Linked DNA regions of Bombyx mori. The protein of the gene in region 1 binds, or shares a complex with, the protein of each later gene. Links are inferred from orthologs where the notes say so. Each region holds a gene or a part of one and is shown on either strand. Other genes may lie near its edges. The genes, in order: translation initiation factor eIF-2B subunit epsilon and translation initiation factor eIF-2B subunit delta.

Region 1 (13,387 bases):
TAATGTATAATATAATGAGCTGGCAAGAATTTCCTCATTAATTAATATGCCATGAATGAAGTCATCCCTAGTTTGAAAATCAAAATTATCCGAGAACAATGGTGGGACTGTTGGTGAGCAGAGTGCAATGTTAGTATCAACCAGATTGTGATGTAATTTAACTTCAGAATTATTTAATACCAAATCCTGAAAAAAAAAGAATACATTAAATACAAGAAAAAAGATCTGACTGCAACAAAATAAAATTAATTTCATAAATGTAGATAAGTGAATTAAATATGTTGCTCTAACAGAAATATTACCAATCACTTGATTAGTTCATTAAATTAAGAATTAGATTAAACAGGACCATGTGAGATGCACCAAATATCAAATAACAAAATATCCTTAAAATCATTTCTTAAAGAAAAAAATATGAGGTAGCACACATGAAAAATACAGTCTTATTAATAACCTCCTTTTTTAAGTTAGTTAATATAACAGATTAACGATAATAGGGCCTATTATGACCGAGCATGGAAGGGCACCATACCATAATTCAAAAGATACATACATACAATACTTTACTGACACAATAATGGAAGAACATATTATCATATAAGCAAAAAAACTGAAATCTGCATCATTGTAATGATTTATAAAAAGATCAGCATGTACATATGTGTGCTACAAATGTGTGTTAATTTATTTACTTTTTTTTTTGCAACCTCATGTACCTAGTTTCAATAGTGGACAGACTCGTTGACAAGATTCCAGTGGTTCACAAGCATACCATACTTTTAGTATATTTTTAGTTGGGGGCAAAGTAATATCAACACTGGGTTTAGGGACTCCTGTATCTATCTCTTCGAACATGCGTCAATTTGACGCATGAATGAATATATTTATGGATGAAATAAATGAAATTTAAATTAATACTGTTACTGTTTCAGTAGTGGCATGAAATTAACAGGCCTTTGTGTGACTCAGTGCTAAAGATTAACTTTCACGAATATGCCTAACTAAAAACAATTTAATAAAATTATTGAACAACCTTCACATTATTTTGTACATAGAAGGTACTAACAGTGTCTTGAGGTTTGGCTGTATATGTGATTTTTGTTATTTTTTCATAATAATAAAATCCCAGGTGTTATTTTTTTTGTTATTTCAATGGCCTTATCTACTATACTGCGGATCATCATGTTTTATATAGAGAATATTTGGATTTTGTTAAATCTTATAAAATGGTTGGCACCATTGTCCAGAGAATGTTGACAAATCACAGTTTTTTTATATTAAATTATTTTTGACATGGTCCATAACTCTAACTAAATGTCTCTTAGTCTGTCCTATAAATGAGAGCTCACCATCACAATCCAGTTTATGGACATGAGAACTCTGCAGAGGTGTGCTTCACTTAATAGACCTTAGGATCTTGCTCAGTTCATGTGGTCTAATTACAAAGCTATCATAGAGATACCACAATGTTATTAAACTAATTCCCTTAATATACATCATATAATGTAGGAACCCCAGGGTATAGCCCACCATGGTTGGTTTTAGTTTGAGGCAACAAAATTGGCCTGAAGAACTTCAGGCAATTCTTTTTTAAAACTTGCTTTACAGGTTAAAGTGAATCCAAATAACTAAAAAAAAACATCTGTGATCATGACAACTAATATACTTGAAACATCAGAAATAATAAAATAAATATTGTAAGCTCAACTTCATATCTAATGCCGGCCACTGACATGCGCGCAAATATTCGTACATTGTACGAATGTTTTAGTAGGAGAGCTGGCACCAATTTTTGGGTAGGTATTTGAGGCAAGCTGAAAACTTGTCACATACCTCTCCTATTATATTCCAACACCGAATTGCAGACCTGGCTGGTGAGTAGCGGGGCTAAATCAGCTCTCGGACTATTTGCGCTAGAGATGGCGTTAATGGTTGAATTTATTTATCTGTTAACTGGTAATTGATAAAAAAAATTACCGATATTTTTATTGGTTGAAAATACCGGTAAATCTTTTCGTTGAAAAACTAATTTTGCTAATGTTAAACTTGAATGGTAGAGTTTCTTACATTTATTTTCGATTCAGTGAACTTTAGAAGCTACAGGCTTAGGGCTAATTAGCTTAACTAATTAGTACGAAATGATTAGTGGGAAAAACTCTTTACAAATTTTCCACCACGGCGGTGCGCTGGTTCAATATTTTTGAATTGATTTTTCTTACAATAATTACACATTGCAATTTTTTCCGCTCCCAAGCACTTTCCGAAATGATCCCATATTTCTGCATTGCGTTTCGGCATTTTAAATTAGATATACACTTTAAAAATCCACAACAACAAAGTAAGCAAAGTCTCAAACACACAAAAACAAAGTCAAAACACACAAACACAAAGTACAAATCTCTTAAAATACAAAAACACAACTTTACCAAAATAATAGAAAAGATGCACTGAGCCGCCAAAATGTCAAGTACCAAACAAAATATTACGTTTAAAAAATCAACCAATCGCGTCATCTTCGCGTTCGGTAAAAATATCGTTTCATTTCAATTTTTTAACGAAAAAAATTATCATTAACTGTAAAATACACCAACTTAAATATTGTGCTTTATTTTGAGGGGTATAGAGCATACAATGAAATCATAAAATTCAATATTTTTTACATGATAAGTTGAAAACATCTGCAAGGCGAAAATGAATCTTACGTGTTGAAATAAAGTTGAAACTTGTATAAATATAATTTCCAATAATTGCCTATGCCACTACACGCAGTGTTTTTGTAAAACGGTATTTTTAACCGTTTTGGGTAATTTTATTTATCGAATAGAAGTGTTAATTTTTTTTACCGGTAAATTTATTGGTTAATGGTTATATTAGCCACCTCTAATTTGCGCGCATGTGAAGGGCCGTCAAACATTCATTCGCAAACCTAGCGGCTGTGCAAATGGGTTCGCATACTCAATTTGCGAACCCGTTTCGCTTCCTCCTACATTTGTTTACGAATGTCTCACGAATTTCTCCTCCTTTTTAATTCGTCAATAGAACATTGAAGAGAAAAAGAGTTTTGAATTCTTTCCCAGACATCATTAACAGCCATGCTGTTTTTATGGGATTTCTTTTGATGAAGATACGCTACACAGTAGACGTCACGAACTATGAAAATGGCGATACGTCCGTTACCTTCGCAATCGTCGGCGCAACTGGTCAAACGACTACGCGAAGGTTCGCGGTTCGCGCGCTTTGATGTCTGTTAAAAAACCGACACAGCTTGGAAAACCATGAATGTAGCGAAAACTTTGCATAATCATTTGCAAATGTCGTCCTACACTTGCGGGTTTGCGTATTCGTGCGCATGTGAGTGACCGGTGTAAGACTACAGGAAACCAAAGAAAAAACGTCTAATAAGAGTACTTGTAAAAGGTTACATACCAAAGGAAGAGATATTATCTTCTCCTTGGACTTAGGTCTATATCTCTTGTGCACTAACACTTTCTTTGTATTCTCGTTAGCGGCCAAAAAAGTTGACCTGTCTGAGCTTATCAATGGGTGTTCCCAAGAAAGTTTCTTATAAACCAAAGTCATCGCTGTCCCTTTGTCTTTTTTACATGTTTGTCTATGGTAAAAAGAATAAAAGAGGTTTATACTTTGATAATCTGCTATTAAAAGCTATGAGTTATAATGAATTTCAAGTTTTTGGTAGAGATTGAGAGACAATAAATAATCTGCCTCTTTTTCCATGAAAAAGCAGTGATTTTAAACATATATGGCTATTATGAAAAGTATCATATCTGTCAAAGTAATTGAGTAAAATATTATAATTGGTGAATTTTGAACAAAATTTAATTTAGCTTTTCATTGATTGACGGTATTTATGATATGCTTTTAAAGATCAATAAATTTATTAATTCATATGCAAATTCCATCTGTCAGCATGTTCTATAATTTAGAAAAATATGTGAAGCTTGTACAAACTTATGTTGTTCCAGAAGACTTGCAAAATTCATATTAGTAATGCTATTGATACCAGCTAGCACAAAATATCCTTTCAGCAAAGCAGCAGCATCTAACTCTCTCATCACATCACCCATGGTCTGACAAGTATCTGACATCAAAATCTGGATATCCATAGTAAGACTCCACAGAGACTTGTTATCTTGATGTTTCCTGAAGTATAGATAAATTTTAGTATCTGATTACAGAAAATATAGGTAGATGGGTGGGAAGATAGAAATCTTAGTCAGCTACGAATCTATATAAAAAATAAGTTCATGATAACAATGATTTGACCACTCAAAGCACAAGTTTTTATTAAGCTTAATAAGTTGACTGTCTAAGCTATTTTAGGTTAAACTCCACATTCAGCAAGCCCTTTTTTTTTAAAACACTTCAGATATTAGCTTCATATCTGCAATCCTGAATTATATGTAACATATAACATAATATGTAGTATATATGTTATTACATATAATACAGGAACACCACTGCCAGATTGAATATACACTACATAAAATGGATTGACAGTCAATGTATGTAATAATGATGCTTAATTTTTAAGCAAAAATGTAGTCATACACAGGATGAAACACCCTGTGTACTCTTACCAAAAGATTCACTTTGCCAATGTTCAAATCAGACAGACAAGTACCAATGTTACTATAGAAATATGTCTAAACACATGTTTACGAATAACTACGACAATGACAGAATAACATCTTGTAAAAAAATGAAACCACCAAAGATGTATAAATTTGCCTGTGTTAAAGCATACTGTAAGCCCAAATGGGATAATGGTACACAAAACTCTCGCTTCTATCTTTATGTGACGAGATTAAATTGTACATAACTGGAACTTCGTCCTCATAACTCAATACGGGCGGCATCATTGACATTATGAGTTCTTTTAATTATCTAGTACTATTAAAAAAAACTTACTGTACATGTTCTTTTATTTTTTGTCCATTTTGACAACAAAACAGAATTGCCTCTCCCACTCCGCCCAAAGCAAGAGATTCTAGAACATAATCTATTAGAGGCACGCCTGCAACTTCAAGAAAACCCTGTAATATGTCCCATTCAGTTATTATTTTGGTTTCAGATAAATATACAAATTTCAAACAGGTTACATACCATTGGTTTATTGTCTGTTAATGGAGAAAAATTACTGTTAAAAGTGTCCATAATAACAACAGCTTGTACGATATTTTCTTTATCCATTTCCATTTTCATCAATTCCTAGTTCCTACTTTTTAGAAAATAGAAAATAGGTTATTGCTACATAGAAAGTTAGTAATAGTAGTTTTATTTTTTCAAATAGAAAGGCAAATGTATCATACCATACAGCCTTATCTATTATATTATATTTTTTTTATGAAATATGATATTATGAAATGAAAAGAAAATGATTAATTTGAGACATTAATCAACTAGGATGAAATTAAATGAAATGATATGGGATGAATTAATCTCAGTAAAATGGTGGTAATTTACTGAGATTTTTTCAGTGGACTGTTTGAAGGATCCCGAGAAGTTAAGTCCAGCGGCTTTGTTTCATTTTTGCACATTTGTACACTTTCATAGATATTAAACAGTCAATAAACCAACGTTATTACACATTTAAACCTGAAGAAATATTATATAGACATAATAAAACAAATCATTTTATTATTTTTAATAGGCAATTATAATAATTAGGTACTTACTGAGTAATAAAGTACGTATTGCATACGTAAAATGCGTACGTATGGATATGAAAAATTTTGGATGGATGATTAACTTTGGAACATATGATATTGGATTTGTCTTGGAATGCACGGCTTTCTTTAAAATTATTTATAGCTTGTAAACATATCTTTTTTTTCCATACCTATTCGCTGATAATTTAAATGGCTATTCCAGCTTAAACAAATCTCCATTTACTAAACAATATATGCATGTAATCTAGAAAGTACTAGAAAATGAATTTAATCGGAAACGAATCAATGTGATATGAGATGAATTAAATAGTATCCGTGTAAAACGAAAGCTTACTGACACTTTATTTTTGAACTTTTTTACATTGAGCCCAAGAATGAGCATTTTCATAAATGCTGCTCACAAAAGTTCGCTATCTACTTTATTCATTAGCTATAATAGAATTTGTAGCATTGAAAAGGCATTATGATTAATAAGCTAGGGCAATATCGTTCCCGCTTGTGAACTTGTTCCCCAAAATCATTCTGTAGGACCTTTAGTTCTGTGTATTCAGTCCAATCGTACAGACAGTATAGAATTACAACTCGCCACGGGGAACTATTACGCTGAGAACAGAATTAAATAATTTTATTAAAACTGTGTTTTCCTCATAACTAATTCACTTAATAATTAAAGTTATCTCTCCGATCTGTATCGGAGACATAGCTAATATTCTACTATCGATATCTCAAACTCCCTTATTTTCTTAGAATGTGACGGGTGTAATTGCTCGGTATAGGGTCGAGGGTTATTTTAATGTTGGTTTATGTTGTTTGGAGCTTGTTTAAATTACAAAGTTATCTTGACATCATCGTTAGCGAGATTCAGGCATCTGTCAAATATCTTGTGATCCATGATTGCTACCGTCACATAATATATTTTTCTATTCTTATAGTAATTCACATAGCCAACCTTCCAAGACTACCTTCTAGGTATCACAGTTTTACAATCCATACAGTTAGGAAATGGAGACACTTGCGTCGATACACGCAAACAGTTTTTTGTTCCTACCTATGCTGATAGGCTATATCAGCGTTACCCTAGCGTGTAGGATAAAAAACGGTTTTTCTCGATTTCCGGCAAAACTAAAAGTCTTATGGAAAAAAGTCACAAAGTTGTAGGTAATAAAAAGATCTAAAACTTTTGTATTTACACTTTTTTCACATATCCTCAAAATTTATGTGAAAAATTCAAAAAACCAAGTTTTTGGTTTTTTATTTTTATCTTTTTAAAAAAAAAATCTTTTTTCACGAAATTTGGTGAAAACTTACCTTTTCATGTCCCAAATACGCTGTAATTTATTTCATTACAAATATGAATCTTTTCACCTTATTTTGAATTAATGTCGAAAAAGCACCCTAATTTTCAATCGAAAATTCACCCGTCAAAATATCAGCTATTTTCAAAAAGTTCGAAATCGCTACATACTTTCCGAAGGTGAAAAAAATCTATCTTACTATAGTAAATCTTCTCAGACAATGCAAAAAATCGAAAAAACTCGAATTCGATTTTTTTATTTTATTATTATATACAATTTATAATTTTAAAATTTACACTTTAATAACTCGAAAAACATAAGACTACATGTTACATTGATAAAAAAAAATTGCAAATCAAAATATACTACTATACCTAGTCAGGTCATAAATTCTGTCACATGTTTAATGTAAAATAATTGAAACAAGTTTATTCATTATGTAACCATTCATATACCAAAATGAACTTAACAAAACATAGATTCTTATGACACTAAAGTTTATTCAAAATGACCTCCGTGATTTTGAATACAGGCCTTCAATCTGCGCGGCCAGTCGTCTATCGCAGCACGAACGAGGTCCATGTCAATATCGGCGGCTACCTTAATCAAGGATGTCTTGTGAGTGCCTCCAAATTGGGATGAGGCTTTGAGCACGCCTTTTCCTCCAAGTGTTGCCATATCTTGTAATCTAACGGATTCAAATCTGGACTGGAGGAGGGCCAGTCTTCGTGCCGGATGAAGTCGATTTCACGCGCCGCCAGCCAGTCTTGTGTGCTCTTCGCTCTATGAGCTGGCGCCGAATCTTGTTGGAATACCCAGTGCCTGTTATTGAACATGGTATGAGAAACAGGTTCCACAAGGTTCGTCAGGACTGTATTTTGATACACAACTGCATTCGTTTTTACACCTTTCTCACAAAAATGTACCTCTGTTAAGCTCCAATAAGAAACTCCCAACCATACCATGAGCGAGGATGGAAAATGACCTCGCTGGACACGCGGAATACGGTTGCTCGCTTCTTCACTACTGTGTGCGTATACCTTATCATTTTGTTTGTTGTAGCTCTCTTCTACGCTAAAAATTTTTACATCCGAAAACGAATTTCCCAAATATTTTTTTCCCGCGTACCGCTTCAACAAAGCGCGGCATCTCTTCAGTCTCAGGTCCATTAGACGAGCATTCAAACGATGTCCTGTTTTTCTTCGATATGCCCGAAGCCCTAAGTCTTCATTTAACACCCTTTTCACCGTGGTTCTGCTTAACCCCATCTGAAGGGCCACCAGTTTCTGCTTACGTTTGGGATTTCTTTGAATTCGCGCCTTCACAGCTTTTATCACTGCTGGAGTCCTAACAGACCGAGGGCGACCACTTCTTGACCTGTCATCTACACTAGAGTCTTCATTGTATCGTTTGATGGTACGATAAACGAATCTTTTGATTATATTCAAATTTTTCAGTATGTTAAAAATTTTAATTGGCGCGTAACCGCAACGATGCAACGCAATAACTGCAACACGGTCTTCTTTAAGCGTCCACTCCATATTTAAAAATGAGTAAAATTCTAAAAGTATACATTTTTATTTTCATGAACAATTCGAAATTCGAATTCAATAAACTTTTTTGTGGCCAGCATTCTAAAAGAAAAGTTTTTACTGTGTGACAATACTTATGACCTGACTAGGTAATTAACAAACAAATAAGTTCATAAAATTAATATTTAATAAGACATCTACAATATTTGGAGAAAATTGTCGAATCTTTTTTAATTTTTATGCGTAGATGCCTATTTATAACTATTTTTAGATAACTTATATACCTGAGTGACCTACGAAAAATTTTAACCCATCAAAGGTATTTGAAATATATGAAATATAATGGAAATATACATGAAAATCGGCCAAAAGTTAGTTATTATAAATATAAATTATTTTTCCTTTCATTTTTATAATATTCCCCTCTTTTTCTAATGGGTTCCATACTATTATTATTTTTTTTGGTTTTAAAAATTGTCGACCCTGGTCTATAAAGACAAGACGCCAATAGCATCCGGATCGACAAATGCAACGGCAATGTTTTACGACTTTTACGTTGTCCTTACGTACCCGTGCGAACATTGACGAAAACGTTGAAAGACGAGCATAAGGCTCACCTAATAAAGGATTACAACCAAGTCAAAAGAAAAGTATCCCAGAGGTCTCTCTATTCGCACACTGTTGTTCAGTGCACAGAAGTCTTCAACAAGAAGCTTTCTGTTGACCTCAAAAAATGAATACTAAGCACACAGGAGTTTTATTGATTTCTTGTTCAAGTTTGAGGTCTGTTGTTTTACGTTTGGTTGCCTAGGCTTTATCGATTTCCTTCTATGTTAAAGATTTTATGTCAGCAGAGTGAAAAAGACGTTGCCGGTATTATTATCATATATTATAGAGTTATGGATTACGACTTGTGCAGAATTGACTACTTTATAAGCGGAATCACATATCCTGACACTCTAAAAATTTTACCATCTCAAGGACAGAAACTGGAACAGAAGGTACCTACCTATCACAAATTGCTTTAACGCTTAACGTTTTTAAGTATACAACTTAAAACTTGAGACAATAATAATTAATAATGTGAATCGCATTTAATATAATATCAACCAATTCTATTATTAGAATATTGTTAGATTCATTCATATAATTAAAAAACAATCAAATATCTATCGATGGGGAATGTTCACTCATAAATATCTCACTTCCCAATTATAATTTTTATTAAACACAAATATGTACATTAAATACAAAGAACAAACGATATAAATATTGGTTTTATGAAAAACTACAAAGCGTCAAACCGGCAGAACCTGTACACCCGACAAAATTACATTATACAAAAGTAAAATTACAAAATTACAAAATATTCGAACTTATTTTTGAAAACCTGTTATTACCCGAAGGATTTTTCGGGCTTACCAGGACGAGGAGTTAGGAAATCTGTTCTCGTTTTCCTTTAGAGGAGGAGATTTTTATCGGATAATAGTCACCATTCCTAGAAAGTACCCACAAATAAAAGCGAAAGACGGTGAAATATGAGGATCTAGAGAAAACTATTTTAATAACTTGTTCAAAAAGGTTTTTGGGACCTTCGTCGTAAACAAAAAAGCAACAATTATCATGCTTTATTTCATGTAAACCGAAGTCATTACATTGGTAATGACTTCGGACTTCGGACTTTAGGCTATTGAGCCTAAAGTAAACGGAATACAATATTTATTTACTAAACTAAAAGTGAATTTAAGCATTAATTGTAAATAAGCAGGTATTAACTTACAACTTCTACTAGTTCTTAGTATTACGTAGGTATTTCGTGAACTTGTAAATTAGCGAAAACTCAACAGACTGTCCTCTGACGTCCATAGACGATATATATATCGTCTAAGGGAATCGCAGAATCGACAGTCAGACACAGTCAAACACAGTAGGACAGTCAGACACAGTTGGTATATACCTACCAAGTGTTAGGTAATTCATTTTAAATCTTGTCAAAATGTATGCAATGCAAAAACACATTGTTATACCTTTTATTTAAGATATTAAGTTCACAATTTCCGAGACAGACAGTCAAATTAATATATAACAAAATAAAAACGATTTTACAAACGATTTGATCTTATCTACAGTTCTGAAAATTAACTTCATAATTCTACTGATATGCTTTCTTTAAAGGTCGTAGTTGGGGATAAAACCGGAGTTCTGCAATGTTTGACCATAAGAGACGAAGAACCAGTCATTCAATTTAAGACATTGCCAGGCAAACCAATTACCGCCGTACAATTGACTTCTACAAACGGTAATAGCACCTACATTTTATTTAGGCCGAGTCTCCTACTGGACCCCGCACTGAAGGGTTGCTCGGCGTAGTTTCGATCCATATCTTCAGCGATATTTTCAAATGCACACATAATTAAAATCAACCCGTCATAACTTTCCCAAAAAAAAATTGTCATTGACGGAGTTGATGTCGGTTTTTTGAGTTAGATAGGAAGTCGCCAGCGTTCCGCTTACGCGTTGAAGGTGATAGATAGTGGCACGTTAGAGTAAAACCGACTTAAACCCATGTTGCTTAAATTGCTGCTGCCTGCAGACCCCCGTCTGAGGCGTCGCAGGGTGGCAGTAAGGCAAGTTACGCGTAGTGTATATCTGTCTACCCCCTTGCCTCCACGGGACGTCGAAACACCATGTCTATCCGTCGGCAGGGTATTCGAAGCCTGCATATATGGCGCCACCAACCCGTACTCCCGGGATACCCACTGAAATAAAATCCACCCTGCGGGGTGAGAATACAAATCACTTCCAATCGATTGACCTTTACCTCACCATAAACATTTATCTCAACAAAAACAGGATATTATTAAGTTAGTAGGGGAGACCGGGGCAAGATGAGATAGCTAAGACAAAACTCGCTGTACAAAGACAATTATACTCTTTAATTAAATTCTTTACGAAAACAAGTAACGCTTATACATTTGTCTCTTAAAATTAATAATTTTATCATGCAAAATCATAGATTTTTTTTGACAAATAATGATTAACGATACCTAATGAGGCGAATTTCCCGTCTTGCCCCATGGATGGGGTCAGATAGGAAATGCTACGGGGCAAAAGGAGTACGTATTTTAATCGGGCAGAAAGCGTTCACAAATGTGTGCCTCGTCGTCTTCTTCATCTACTCCGGCACAGGAATCGTGTGCAAATACTACAGATAGCCCAACCCTCGGTTGACTCTTAGTATAAGTAACCACAATAGACGCAGGCGCAGTCACCGTCCTCCTCTTAAGATGAACTAAGTATATTCCGATTCGATTTCTTTGGCGAGTCTTTTAGCTTGACGCTTGTATTCAGTCCTTTTTATTTTCTTATTTCTAAATTTATGTATTCGTTTTTTATCTTTTTTAGTCTTCTGTCCATCAGTCTTCATCCGCTTCCGTTCATCCAAAAGTTCATCTCGCATCTGCTTCCGAGCGTATATTGTACATGGGTGGGACATACGTTCCATGGCTATGCTATGCATAGCTCTTGTGGCTGATGTCGGTTCTGGGCCAATCTTCTCCTGCCATGCCAGTTTCTTCATTAAGTGGGCTATCTATATGATTGCCAACGCTGAGCTAACTGATAAGCTATTACACGAAGTTATTTTCCTGTTAACCGTGCTTCCATAGATTCACACATTGCGCCAACTCATCTTCTTGTTTTGCTGTAAAAACAGCTTTGAATCGTCACAAATTCTTTTTCCCATACTTAGTCGTTACCGGAATCAGTCTCGTCATCCATAGTATCGCAAGCTTTTCTTACACGGCGGCGGAACATTATATATAGCAGAGGCTCGAGGAAGCCCCATCCTGGTATTAAGAACCCATAAGACCCAGAACTTCAGGGTCCCATTTGCCACGATCTGTTTTTCGTTTATAGTTGCGAACCATTGTATCTGAGAAAAAAACTTTATGAGAAAAGCAACGATATATCTTGCTAATCTAGAAGTTACAACAATATGTACTTATACTTTTTTTTATACCACTAAGTCGGCAAAGAAGCTTACAGTTCGCCCGATGGAAAGCGGTTACCGTAGCCTATGGACGGTTGCAAAACCAGGTTGCAATACTATCGATAGGTAAGTAGGTACACAGAAGGTATTATTTAAACGACGAGGAAGGGGCAAAACGGGATAGTATCCCGTTATGCCCCGATCATTGTGCCCCGACACACATGTATTCAAATAAGGTAAAGCAATTCTAATCTTAAATCTTACCGGCGCAAAAATCTAATCTGAGTGTTATAGTACTAAAACACGCTGAGGATTAAAACATTATATTAATTCAAGCACTTACATGTCTGCACATGAGTTTCTTAACCAAAAACCGGATAAAAACACTTGCAAAATCAGTTTTTTTCCTATACAACGCAAAAACGAGATCCAACACGTTCGCTCAGCTCGGACGCATTTGCGCAATCTGAATTTCGTGCAAATGGCGCCGTTACCGGTCCGAACACGATTACCATTCATGGATACAAGCTTACTTCCCGTCCTGCCCCGAACTTCATCTTGCCCCGGTCTCCCCTACTACTACTACCATTAATGAAACTAAGAATACCATTCGGTTGGTTTCTATTAAGGTACATTATTCAACACATGATAAATGCGTAAGTAAAAATCTTATCTTTTAGGTACGCAACCAGACAAAATATTTGCAGCATCGGGTAATGAGGTTAAAGGTTACACCAAAAAAGGCAAAGTATTCTTCTCTATTGAGACAGCATTGTCGGAGCCTGTGACGTCTATGTAAGTAATTCAGGATTAAACAAAAAAAAACAATTGAATAATAAAAGCGTACGATCCTAAATAAGTCCCATGAATGCCCAGTTT
Region 2 (12,160 bases), on another chromosome or scaffold:
TCTAGTAAATATGTAACAACAGCACTTAATTTGCAATTTAAATAAATGAAAGAAAACACATTTGAATGGTAACTAATAAATATGTTGATATGGTAGGTAGATGCTGAAAATTATCTGGTTCAACCTGAGAAACCTTTCACTGCAACTCAAAGGAGAAGAATTAGAAGAAATAGATTAAGATTTGCCAAAACAGACTGTGTAGATATCCTTTGTACGATAAATAAAATACAAAACAAAACAAAAAATAATCCTGAACAAGGACATATAGCAGTAATTGAAAATAATAAACAAGAATACAAAGTAGAGGATGCCCTCCGCTCAGTAGTCATAAAAGATTTTGACGAAAGTATATTACAAAAGATGTCTTCTAATGAAATCCCACCAAAGTCTAGAGATGAAATTAAAGCTGCTCGACAGGCAAAAAAAGCTGCCAAACTAAAAGTAAACAACAAGACCACTGAAAATCCTCAACTGACAAAAGAAATAGAGAATCTTAATGAAAACAACATAAATTCTAAACCTAAAGTAGAAAGCACAGATGAAGTAGACAAATCTGTTGTAATAAATCCTAATGCTGTAGATATAAGTACTAGTAGAGAACAGATCAAAGCAGATAGAGCTGCCAAGAAATCTGCCAAACAGTTAAAGAAAAAAGGAGCTGCCGATGGTGAAAGTAATGTGCAAAGCTCTGTAAAAAAAGAACTTAAAGAAGATGATTCTGTGAAACAAAATGAAGATATGACTGTAAAAGATGTTGTTGAAACTTTAAAAAACATAGTTAGTGTTGCCAAGGAGGTTAATGAAATTACGACAAAAGTAAGTGCCTTGGATTTGGGAGGTAAAAAGGTAATTATGTGGATGAAATAGTCATCCTTTTTCGATATTAAACTACATTAACATTGCTTCTAAATTCCTTGAATGACATTCCCAATGAAATTGAAATTATATTTGATGTAAGCTTATTTAGAACAAGAGGCTTAAAATTTGTTTACCATACTTGAATAACAAAATACAACAATAAAATTTATAACAGATATATAAACTCCATATTATGTTGCACTATATAAACTCAGAGTAACTGTGATAATATATTGTCTTTTGAATATTCGTTTAATAGATATAGTTTCGAAAACAGTGTTGACATTACTAACAATATTGATATTGTAGCAAGAAGAGACAGGCAAGAGTAAAGCAGAACTTCGGGCTGAACGACGCGCCAAACAGGAGGCTCAGAGAGCTGCCAAACAAGCTGCCGAAAAAAAAGTAGTCAAGCCTAAACTTGAAGCTCCTACAGTAAATGTGGATGTTCCGAAGAAAGAGGTAATTTTGAGACTTTTAAATTGCCTTTAACACCTAAACTGCTTTTTAGGACACTAAATCGAATAGCGGAGATTGAACTTAATGCAATGTCCATTCTTATAGTTCACTATCCCAGACATCACATTTTGTAAGCTAAATGAGGGTAGTTTGAAATTATAGATAGATACATAATCAGGACTTTTTGGCCAAAACACCAGGAGTGAAGTTGTATGATTTGTTTTATTTTGTCTATTTAGTGTTTCTTCAGGTCTAAATGTGTAATAACGGTGGTTTATTAACTGTTTAGTATGTGTGAATGTGCACAAATGTGGGAAAATCAAACAAAGCTACTGAACGTAACTTCTCGGGATCCACTGAAAAAGTCTCATTAAATTACCACCATTTTACAGAGATTATAATAATATTTCATCCCATATCATCTCATTTCATTTCAACGCATATTATCATTTTTCATAAAAATAAGAATATAAATTAAGATAAGACTTGGCCTAAAGGTCTTAGATACCAGGTCATAAAATACACAATCAGTACCACTAGCTCATTCACATTATGTTAATAGTTGGTGAATTTTGTTTTATAGCATAAATTAGTAAACAAGCTTACAGCTCACTTGGCTGGTTGAGTGGTGATTAAAGCTGATAGAGATGGGAAAGGAATGCCACCAGTCACCTTAGGTCCTAAGGTTTAGGATGTGAGGTCAAAATAACAATTGTTTTCTAGAATGGCTGTCCACCCTTCAAACCAAAAAGCATGATTGCCTGAATAGATTCTAAATGGCCAATAGGTTCATCATGCAGCATAATATTCTCATTAATTAAAATCCATTTGTTCTTCATCTCAGGTCAGTTCCGAATTCTCTAACTGTGTTATATATACACTTCATAATTATATTTCTTAAAATACAGACGGCCTAGTGTAGACTCTATTGACAATGTTATGTTCAAGTATTATTATTGTAAATTGTGAAATTTCAATATACCTAGTCTTGCCATAAATATTGAGACCAAGGAAAAAAAAATCTATTGCAAAAAACATTTATTACTTTTACAGTGTGTTAGTTTAATACATAAATATAAAACAGTTTAAAGTATAAAAAGCTTATTCGAAGTGGTCTCCATTGGCTGCAATACAGTCCTTTAAACGTTGAGGCCAGTTATCAATAGAAGCACGCACTCTTTCCATGGGAAAAATTTTCACTGCCAATCGTACGGATTGTTTAAGGGACTCCAAATTATCATGGCGTTTAGAACAAGCCGTACTCTAAAACTGACCATAAATCATAATCCAGCGGATTAAGATCGGGACTAGACGACGGCCAGTCTTCAGCTCTGATGAAGTCCGAAACGTTCGTTTCCAACCAAGACTGCGCAGACCGAGGTTTATGACCTGGCGCCGAGTCTTGCTGGAAGGATCATTCTTGATTATTGAACATGGTGTTGTTAAGGGGCTTCACTATCTTTTGCTTTCGGACAGGATTTCTTCGAATTCTTACTGCTTTGACCACCTTTTTCGTACGAACACTACGTGGACGGCCAGATCTTTTTCTGTCACAAACAGAAGAGCTCTCATTGCACCTATTAATAGCCCGGTACACAAACATTTTACTAATACCCAAGCATATGCAGAGTTTTAAAAATTGCATTTGGCTTCATACCTACTTTGTGTAATGCAATCACAGCGATTCGGTTCTCTTTATCTCCCCACTCCATTTTAATATAGCAAAATATTGTACAATGTATTGGCGCCAAAATGAGAAATCTCAATGAGCAATCATATAAAAATGACAGATTCCAAATTAAAATGTAATATTTTGTTTATTTTTAATTGTAACAGTATTTATGGCCAGACTATTTAGATTATAAAACAACATTGCAGATACGAGCAAGGCTATCAATGTGGTGCTTACGATTTTTTTTTATTACAGGAAAAAGTTATTAAATCAAAAACCTTGGAGAAGTCGAAAACAAAGTTGCAGCTCGCACAGCGCTTCAACTGGTTTCAGCATCTTTACACTGAGTTTGACAAGAATCCTTTGAAGAAGATACCCATTAATTCCAAGTAAGTGCTGTAAGTAAATGGATATCTGTGGGATGTAAGTTCAACTGCCTCGCTACGTTTTGGCAGTGATGATCACCATATCATCATCATTGCAGTTTGCTGTTTTAATATTTCTTTATTGAAATAATAGGCAGCCGAGCCTGTGGCCTTCGCATGGTGAGTGGTTACCATCGTTCATAGATGTGAGCGACACCACGTACCACAGCGAAGCTTTTGTCTACAGCTGAGTAGGCTCCACATTTGAGCTTCGTCTTGAGTGTAGGTGAGCTCACGGGGCTCAAACTGGGACTGTTGCTAACACTGGCCCTAGCAAGGGCAGAGCTTCGCAGAATCTACCACCGGATTGGAAACGCGACCCACTGAGAAGATCCGGCGAGAAACTCAGTGGGCTGTGTCTATGGGTGAATTTACTCGTCGAGTCCTTTATTGCAAGCGTAGGGTGCGGCGAGGACGGTGACCGGTAGGCTCCATAAACCTTGTTTAATGAAAGACAAGCCATAACAGACAACAACAAGCCACAAATACTAAGTGCATATAGCAAAGGTGCTGAGTCCGAGCAGGAATCGAACTCGGACTCTGCAGCGCAACAGTCAGGGCATCTCATCACTAGGACAAACGATGCGATGGAATAAACAAAACAATCCACTTTAAATTGTTTTAGGTCAACTGATATGAATTGTCCGGTTAATTGTCATCTATTCTCTTGAAACAAGTTGCTTCTCAATAAATCGGAACGTTCGAGAACGATTGTTATATGACCATTTTATTTAGATAAAAAAATACATGTGTCCTTAAAATGGAAAAAAAAATCTTTTACATATACCTACGCAATGTGCCAGATAGATGTTTACATCGCGTGATGTTATTTGGGATCAAAATAAGTAACCGAACCATACCATATACAATAACGACCAGCCAAATATGACATTTTGGGAGGTTTGACGACAAAGGGAAAATCTTCCACCGAGCGGGCGACATTGCTCGGTAGACCGACAGCCCAAATGTTTATGTTCGGAACTTGTATAGATGCAAGCTGCCTTCGCTGTAATAAAAAAAAATTATAAATAAAAATTTAAGGTGACTTTCAAGGTATCCTTAACTTACAGCCTACACCCCGCCATCGTGAAACTTGGAGTCCAGTTGTCGTCGCGAGTGGTGAAGGGATCGAACGCCAGATGCATCGCTCTGCTGGACGCCCTCAACAAAGTATGTATCTTGATGTAATGCTAAATCGCAATTCGTGGACATTCTTGAAAATACGTTTTTGTTGAAGACTTTTTGGCGGAAACGTGAGGAGTGAAGTTGTGTGATTTGTTTTATTTTGTCTATTTAGTGTTTCTTCAGGTTTAAATGTGTAATAATGGTGGTTTATTAACTGTTTAATATCTGTGAAAGTGCACAAATGTGGGAAAATCAAACAAAGCCGCTGGATGTAACTTCTCAGGATCCTCCAAAAAGTCCACTGAAAAATCTCGGTAAATGACCACCATTTTACTGATATTATATTTCATCCCATATCATCTCATTTCATTTAATGTCATCCCAGTTGATTAATGTCTCAAATTAATCATCTTCATTTCATTTCACTCCATATTATCATTTTTCATAAAATTAAGAATATAAATTAAAATAAGACATGACTTGAAGGTCTTAGTTACTAGGTCATAAAATCCCTTAAAAAAATACGTTTTTGTAGTTTACGCCCTGTACGCATAGACATCAGAGGGTGAATGCTGTAACACACCTCCGGACGTGAGGTCCCGGTGGTAGAACTGCCGGCTCACTCATCAAACCGGACCGCACGACTGCCTCGCGACAGGGTGAATGCTGTGACCCACCTCCGGACGTGAGGTCTCGGTGGTAGAACGACCGTCTCGCTTTTCAAATCGGAACGCACGACTGCCTTATCACAGAAACAGGCAGAACAGTGGCACTTAACCCGCGGGCTTACAATCCAAAAAAACGTTCACTATTCAATTACACTATAAATTAAATGAAAGTGCAAATCAAAACTCTATTTAACACTTAGAACACTTAACGAACACTTTAAAATTCTCAATTCACTTCTTCCGCTTCGCTTCAGGTGATTCGTTCGCTATTTCGCTTAGTTCGCAAGTAGATTCGATTACTAACTGCCATCCCTGCAGCGCTTTTATAGTCGATGCAATATCCCTAGGTTTATCGAGATTATTCTGGGCGAGTCGAATATACGATGTGTATTTCCACTATCACACAATAGATGGCGTTGTATTTCTCGAGAGTTCTCAATGTTACTAGTTCCTTTGATATTCGTTTCTGCTATTCGGCGATAGATGGCGTTAATAATGCCGACGTAACAGTATGTTAATACTTTAGGTTGAATTCTAAGCATGTAACTAAAAAAATAATAGTTTAAAAAAACAAAAAATATACGCTTTTATTTCATATTTATTAAGATTTATTGTCTATTTTTTAGTGGGATTTTCTATAAAAGCGGTTTTTTTTAAGTTTTTTTAAACTATTATTTATTTTTTAGTTGGATTTAAATTTTTTCTATATTTTTTTTATTGAATTGTCATCGGTCCTTAATAACTATACCAAATTTCGTTTCGAGTTAATCCGACATTTTGAAGGGGGTCAAAATCATGTTCAAAGATTCCGTTACAAACAGACATACCTCTGAAGCTAATAAAAGCGTATCTTTATTAGGCAAGGCAAGGGGATCTAAGCCCATACAGCCTTGTCAGTTCTATCCCATCATCTACAACGTAAATGCGCCACCCACCTTGAGTATAAGTTCTAGTATAGTTACAACGGTTACTCAACCCTTTAAACCAATGACAAGAGCTACAAGAGCATCTTTGATTTATCCCGTGCAGATGGTGAGGGACTACGTTCTGCCAGCGAAGACTGAGTTCTCCCGCGGCCTGGAGTCGCACCTGGCCTCCAGCCTGGAGTTCCTGTGGACGACGCGCGAGCCCTGCGCCTCGCAGATCAACGCCGTCAAGTTCTTCCGGCACCACCTCGCGCAGCTACCCAACAACGTCGACGAGTTCGATGTGAGTACTCGGAGAACGGTATATCGGATGCAGGTAGGAGGAGGTGCACGGATTAAAACAAGCAGATTAGTGAGAGCAAAGCGATGCTTGAGCGTGGCGTGCGTGCAGTTTTGGCGCGTGCGGTTACGTAGGAATTTTCGAGAGGCAGCGGTTTGGCTCTGCCCCTGGCATTGCTGAAGTCCATGGGCGACGGTCACCACTCACCAACAGGTGGACCGTATGCTCGTCTGCCTACAAGGGCAGTTTTTTACTGGTGGTAGGACCTCTTGCGAGTCCGTGCGGGTGGGTACCACCACCCTGTCTATTTCTGTCGTGAAGCAGTAACGCGTTTCGGTTTGAAGGGTGGGGCAGCCGTTGTAACTATATTTGCATTTACGTTGTGGATGTCTATGGGCTCCAGTAACCACTTAACACCAGGTGGGCTGTGAGCTCGTCCACCCATCTAAGCAATAAAAAAAAAACTTAAATTCAAAATGTTGTTCTAACCAACAAATACTGAAGTTTTCTAAGATGATTAGATAAGCTGTTGTGAAATAGCTACTGACAAAAGCATAGCGCGCCAATTTTAATATAGCAAGTTCGAACTGTTACTTATTTTTTTCAATTATCAATTTCAACTTATTTACCAACAATTCACATACTTATAACATATCTATTTTAATTCTACAGGCCAAAAAAACCCTTCAAGAAGAGATCGATCGCTACATCAGAGAACAGATCGAAATGGCGGGAGAAGCGATCAGCATCGCCGTTAGAAACAAGATCTCCAATGGCGACACTATACTCACTTATGGATGGTCTGTATTACGGGTGTAATGGCGTTAGAATATATATAATACTAGCTGACCCGGCAGACTTCGTAGTGCCTCAATCGTTAAATAAAAGATAAATAGAAGATTTGTCTACCTTTTAAACAATCTCTGGACTTCCACAAATAATTCAAGACCAAAACTAGCTAAATTGGTCCAGCCGTTCTCGAGTTTTAGCGAGACTAACGAACAGCAACTTATTTTTATATATATATACTAGCTGACCCGGAAAATGTTGTTTTGTCATATAATTTATTTCTAGGAAAGATAAATAACCTAGGTACCGATTGCAGCGCCACCTGCGGGGCTGATTTGCCACCCAAACGAATATAAAAAAGGGTGCGTGTACTTATGTACGCGCGTAAGAAGTTATACTTTTTTTTTTTTTTTTAAATATTAAATAATTAATAATCAATATTTAACGTTAATAATTTAATAATATTTAGTATGAATTATATTAAATAATAATTTTGTCATTTATATTACTAAAAAATGAACGCTAATAACACTTTTTTACGAGTGTATATGCGCGAAAGTTCACCTGCGGCTATATTCAGACTCGCCAAGTTACGTCGGTCGTATTGTAATGAGCGATTTAGTGGGCAACTTCATTCTGTTAATTTTGTGTCACGGTGCGCGCTCATCCGAAAAATTTCACTCATCAATTTTTCATAACGTGCCTAAAGAAGTATAACTTCAAAAATATTCATTCAAATTGGTCCAGCCGTTTATGAGGAGTTCAGTGACGATGTTATTCCTTCACCGTGGAAGTTAATCGTGAACATTTGTTAAGTACGTATTTCATTAGAAAAGTTGGTACCCGCCTGCGGGATTCGAGCACCGGTGCATCGTTCGATACGAATGCACCGGACGTCTTATCCTTTAGTCCGCGACGACTACAACTCGACGTTCGTTCCCCAGCTCGTCGCTGATCGAGCAGATACTGTGCGAGGCGTGGGAGGCGGGGCTGCAGTTCCGCACGCTGGTGGTGGGCTCGCGCGTGTCCCCCGACGCCGCGGAGATGCTGCGGCGGCTGTGCGCGCGCGGCCTGCCCTGCACCTACGTAGACTTCACCGCCGTCAACTATGTCATGAAGACCGTGAGTCTTACTCCCTCATGCTCATACCAAAATACCTTTTTTTTCCTACCTAATCTGATAGATAGCCTTGAGAGGCTATATCAGCGTAACCTTGACTAGTAAGTGAGCTCACGGGGCTTAAACCGTAGTGATGCTAACACTGACCCTAGCAAGGGCAATGCTTCGCAGAATCTACCACTGGATTGGAAACGCGAGCCACTGAGAAGATCCGGCGAGAAACTCAGTGGGCTGTGTCTGTAGGTTAATTTACTGGGAGAGGGGAACGATGACCGGGCAAAATACCGAGGATGTGGTGCTTCAACGTTAAATCGGACACTATAATAATAGAGCTAAACATCCAAAAAAATACTCTCTGCCATCTGCCAAGAACGTGTTAAGAGCTTCTTCGGGCACATCATGCGGTCTCCCAGACATGAATTAGAGAAGCTCATTATTTTGGGTCGCATAGAAAGCAAGCGCGACATGGACAGAACACCAGCCAGATGGTCAAATCTGATAAATTTTTTAAGGGATTTTATGACCTGGTAACTAAGACCTTTAAGTCGTGTCTTATTTTAATTTATATTCATATTTTTATGAAAAATGATTATATGGAGTGAAATGAAATGAAGATGATTAATTGAGACATTAATCAACTGGGATAAAATAAAATGAAAAGAGATGAGGTGATATGGTATGAAATATAAACTTAGTAAAATGGTGATCATTTACTGAGATTTTTTCAGTGAAGTGTTTTGGAGGGTCACGAGAAGTTACATCCAGCGGCTTTGTTTCATTTTCCCACATTTGTGCACTTTCACAGATATTAAACAGTTAATAAACCACCGTTATTACAACATTTAAACCTGAAGAAACACTAAATAGTAATATGTTTCTATTTAAATGGTGGGGCAGTCGTTGTAACTATATTGAGATCTTAGAACTTATATCTCAAGGTGGGTGGCGCATTTACATTGTAGATGTCTATGAGTTTTTTTAATTTATTACCCTTGTAGGCAGACGAGCACACGGCCCACCTGATGGTGAGTGGTTACCGTCGCCTATAGACTTCAGCAATGCCAGGGGTAGAGCCGAGCCGCTGCCCACCGTAAGTTCCTAATAACTACTTAAAGCCAGGTGAACTGCGAGCTCGTCTACCCATCTAAGCAATAATATATATATAAGTATGTTAATATATCTGATGGTGTGTCGGTGTGCAGGTGAGCAAGGTGGTGCTGGGCGCGGGCGCGCTGCTGGCCAACGGCGCGGTGGTGAGCGCGGCGGGCACGGCGGGCGTGGCGCTGGCGGCGCGCGCTCGCAACCGCCCCGTGCTCGTCGCCTGCCACACGCACAAGTTCATCGACAGCCTCTACACCGACGCCTTCATGCACAACCAGATAGGTAGACACCGTGTCTGTGCACGCTTTTTTTTTACCTATTCTAGTAACCTCGAGGGGTTATTCTAGACTAGCGATGAGACATACTTGCAAAATTGAATACCAGTGCTTCTAAATTTAAAAATATGTACTTGAAAGTATACGTACTGCTTGAGACGCCCCGGTGTTCCAATTTGAAATTTACTTGCATAGGAATTCAACCCGTATTTCATGACGAATAAGGAACAAAATCGTATAAATAAAAAAAATACCTTGAAGTTAAAGTATTATTTTATTCTTAATAAGATGTGAATCATTTTCCTGTGCTATATTTTTTTTCTGTGAGTGTTCAAGTTTTTTGAGTTCAGCACATGACATAATAATATACTTTCATACTTCAAGTATTTTTTGCTGGTACGAGGGTATCGCCATATTATCCCCTCATGCCATCGGCTCATGTACTAAAAAAAACTTAGATAATTTTCCTTTGTGTTCACCTCGAGGTCGTAAACGCGATTAAACCGTTAATTATATTTTTATTATTTATACATATTTGTATTTACTAAATAATAATGTAGAAATTATAAGTAATAATCCTAATTTGTTTTTATTATCAGGAGACCCCGACGATCTTCTGGAAAAATCGGATGATAATTCACCACTAAAAGATTGGAGATCGAATTTAAACTTAACACCACTGAACCTGACTTATGACGTCACACCTCCGTGCCTCATCACCGCCGTCGTCACAGAACTTGCCATATTGCCTTGCACCAGCGCTCCCGTTGTACTCAGATTTAAACTCTCCGAATATGGTGTATAAAGTTCTAAATCAATCGTTTATTATTAATAGTATTTATATATTTGCCAATATTTTTATTATTGTCATCTATTACTACTTAATTATCGCATGTGAAGCAGATCTCCATAAGTAGTATCGTGTTATCACCTAGAAAGGTTAATTTTATTTTAGTAAAAAAACTAAACAAGTCAGACTTATAAAATGTCACTATATATTATTTAGCAAAAAAGAAAACTTGATGCTCAAAATATGTAATTGTGTAGTAAGCTGATATCCACCATAATGAATTAAAATTACTCACTTTGAAACAAATTTATATCTACATTTGCTTGATATAGTCTTCTTCTTATTTAGGTATAAATAAGTGAATTTTAAATATATATTTTATTAGTTAATATGTATGGTTTATTTTCGCTTGAAATATGAAGCTCGGAACTATCTTAAAATCTAAGTAAATTAAGAATCTTTTATACGACTTTATAGCGGCGTGCACGTGAGCAGTGCACCTAAATATAAATTTATTGGACAGATTCTTCAATATTTTTTTTCCTTGCTGTTCTAGTAACCTCGGGGGGTTATTCTAGATTCGCCGAGCTTGTAGGTGAGCTCACGGGGCTCAAACCTGACGACGTTGCTAACACGAACCCTAGCAAAAGCAGTGCTTCGCAGAATCTACCACCGGATCGGAAACGCGACCCACTCAGAACATCCGGCGAGAAACTCAGTGGGCTGTGTCTGAGGGTTAATTTACTCGCCGAGCCCTTCGTCGCAAGTGACGGGTTCGATGAGAATGATAAGCGGTGCTTGTGGTACCAAAAAGCACCGTTAGTGGATCGGGAGGATCCGGATTACGTGTTTTGGGCGACGTCGACTGTTTACCATTTGGTCCGCAGAATCGCCTATGTAGTTCCCGGCGGCCACGATGTGAGGATTCTCGTGTCGTACCGCTTTATCGAAGTGGATTCTTCTAATGGGAAACAATATTCATTTTTGAAGTCGTTGTGGCCTAACGGATAAGACGTCCGGTGCATTCGTGTTGAGCGATGCACCGGGGTTCGAATCTCAGGCGGGTACCAATTTTTCTAATGAAATACGTACTCAACAAATGTTTAATACACAATAAAATGGTGCATGCATTTTCAATGCAAAAGTTCAAACGGGTCATTTGACCCGTTAGGGTTTGTTTGGTGCTAAAACATCACTAGGTTAATGCGAGCTAATGCACCAATATTTCGATATGAGGACTTCGATAATCTGACAGATATGTAAGTTGAAAATTATAGAACCGGTAATCTCTTTATTGAAAAAGAATAACAAATTTATTTACAACTACTATTTAATAATAATAATTACAAAAGTTTTAAAGGTATTTGGGAGCTCTAAGTAAAAAGGAATTCAGTATATATTTTAAACCTACTACTATATTGTAGTTTTCTGGAATTTTGCGTCATTTTAGCGATTGCTTTGATAGTAGTAAGTAAATGAAGCAGACAGAAAACTCCAGAATGGTTTTCCAATTGGGCTGAATTGATTCTAGTTCTAGGTAGATTCTAATTCAATACACTGTGATATTACAGAATTGAAATTCCAATGTGTATATTTTATTAGAGTAAGTATGCAAGGGAGATGAATACCCACATAACCCTGAACCCTTAGTCTTGTATACTCACACTGAATAT

What was found.
Region 2: the proteins of translation initiation factor eIF-2B subunit epsilon (region 1) and translation initiation factor eIF-2B subunit delta are in contact, whole or in part, in a cryo-EM structure (PDB 7D46), measured with the Homo sapiens proteins. The link is inferred for Bombyx mori from reciprocal best matches to the Homo sapiens genes EIF2B5 and EIF2B4. Residues at the interface, in NP_003898.2 of Homo sapiens: Arg163, Lys294, Arg339, His340, Glu357; in NP_001029288.1 of Homo sapiens: Arg357, Tyr393, Pro396, Glu397, Lys466, Arg467, Glu469.

What each region holds. Positions count from the first base shown.
Region 1 is NC_085119.1:8,976,716-8,990,102, forward strand, and holds the start of translation initiation factor eIF-2B subunit epsilon, read right to left. Parts: upstream 7,147-13,387; 5' UTR 6,999-7,146; intron 6,294-6,998; 5' UTR 6,029-6,293; intron 5,317-6,028; exon of another isoform or gene 5,240-5,316; 5' UTR 5,224-5,239; coding exon 5,125-5,223; intron 5,055-5,124; coding exon 4,930-5,054; intron 4,162-4,929; coding exon 3,970-4,161; intron 3,611-3,969; coding exon 3,427-3,610; intron 3,272-3,426; exon of another isoform or gene 2,514-3,271; coding exon of another isoform or gene 2,220-2,513; intron 187-2,219; coding exon 1-186. Other genes in the region: Bardet-Biedl syndrome 7 protein homolog, read left to right, coding at 9,417-9,518, 10,693-10,816, 13,189-13,303, 13,385-13,387. UniProt on the Homo sapiens protein: Acts as a component of the translation initiation factor 2B (eIF2B) complex, which catalyzes the exchange of GDP for GTP on eukaryotic initiation factor 2 (eIF2) gamma subunit.
Region 2 is NC_085111.1:2,895,132-2,907,291, reverse strand, and holds the end of translation initiation factor eIF-2B subunit delta, read left to right. Parts: intron 1-96; coding exon 97-846; intron 847-1,167; coding exon 1,168-1,320; intron 1,321-3,244; coding exon 3,245-3,378; intron 3,379-4,484; coding exon 4,485-4,584; intron 4,585-6,236; coding exon 6,237-6,416; intron 6,417-7,085; coding exon 7,086-7,213; intron 7,214-8,146; coding exon 8,147-8,324; intron 8,325-9,523; coding exon 9,524-9,704; intron 9,705-10,296; coding exon 10,297-10,502; 3' UTR 10,503-10,876; downstream 10,877-12,160. UniProt on the Homo sapiens protein: Acts as a component of the translation initiation factor 2B (eIF2B) complex, which catalyzes the exchange of GDP for GTP on eukaryotic initiation factor 2 (eIF2) gamma subunit.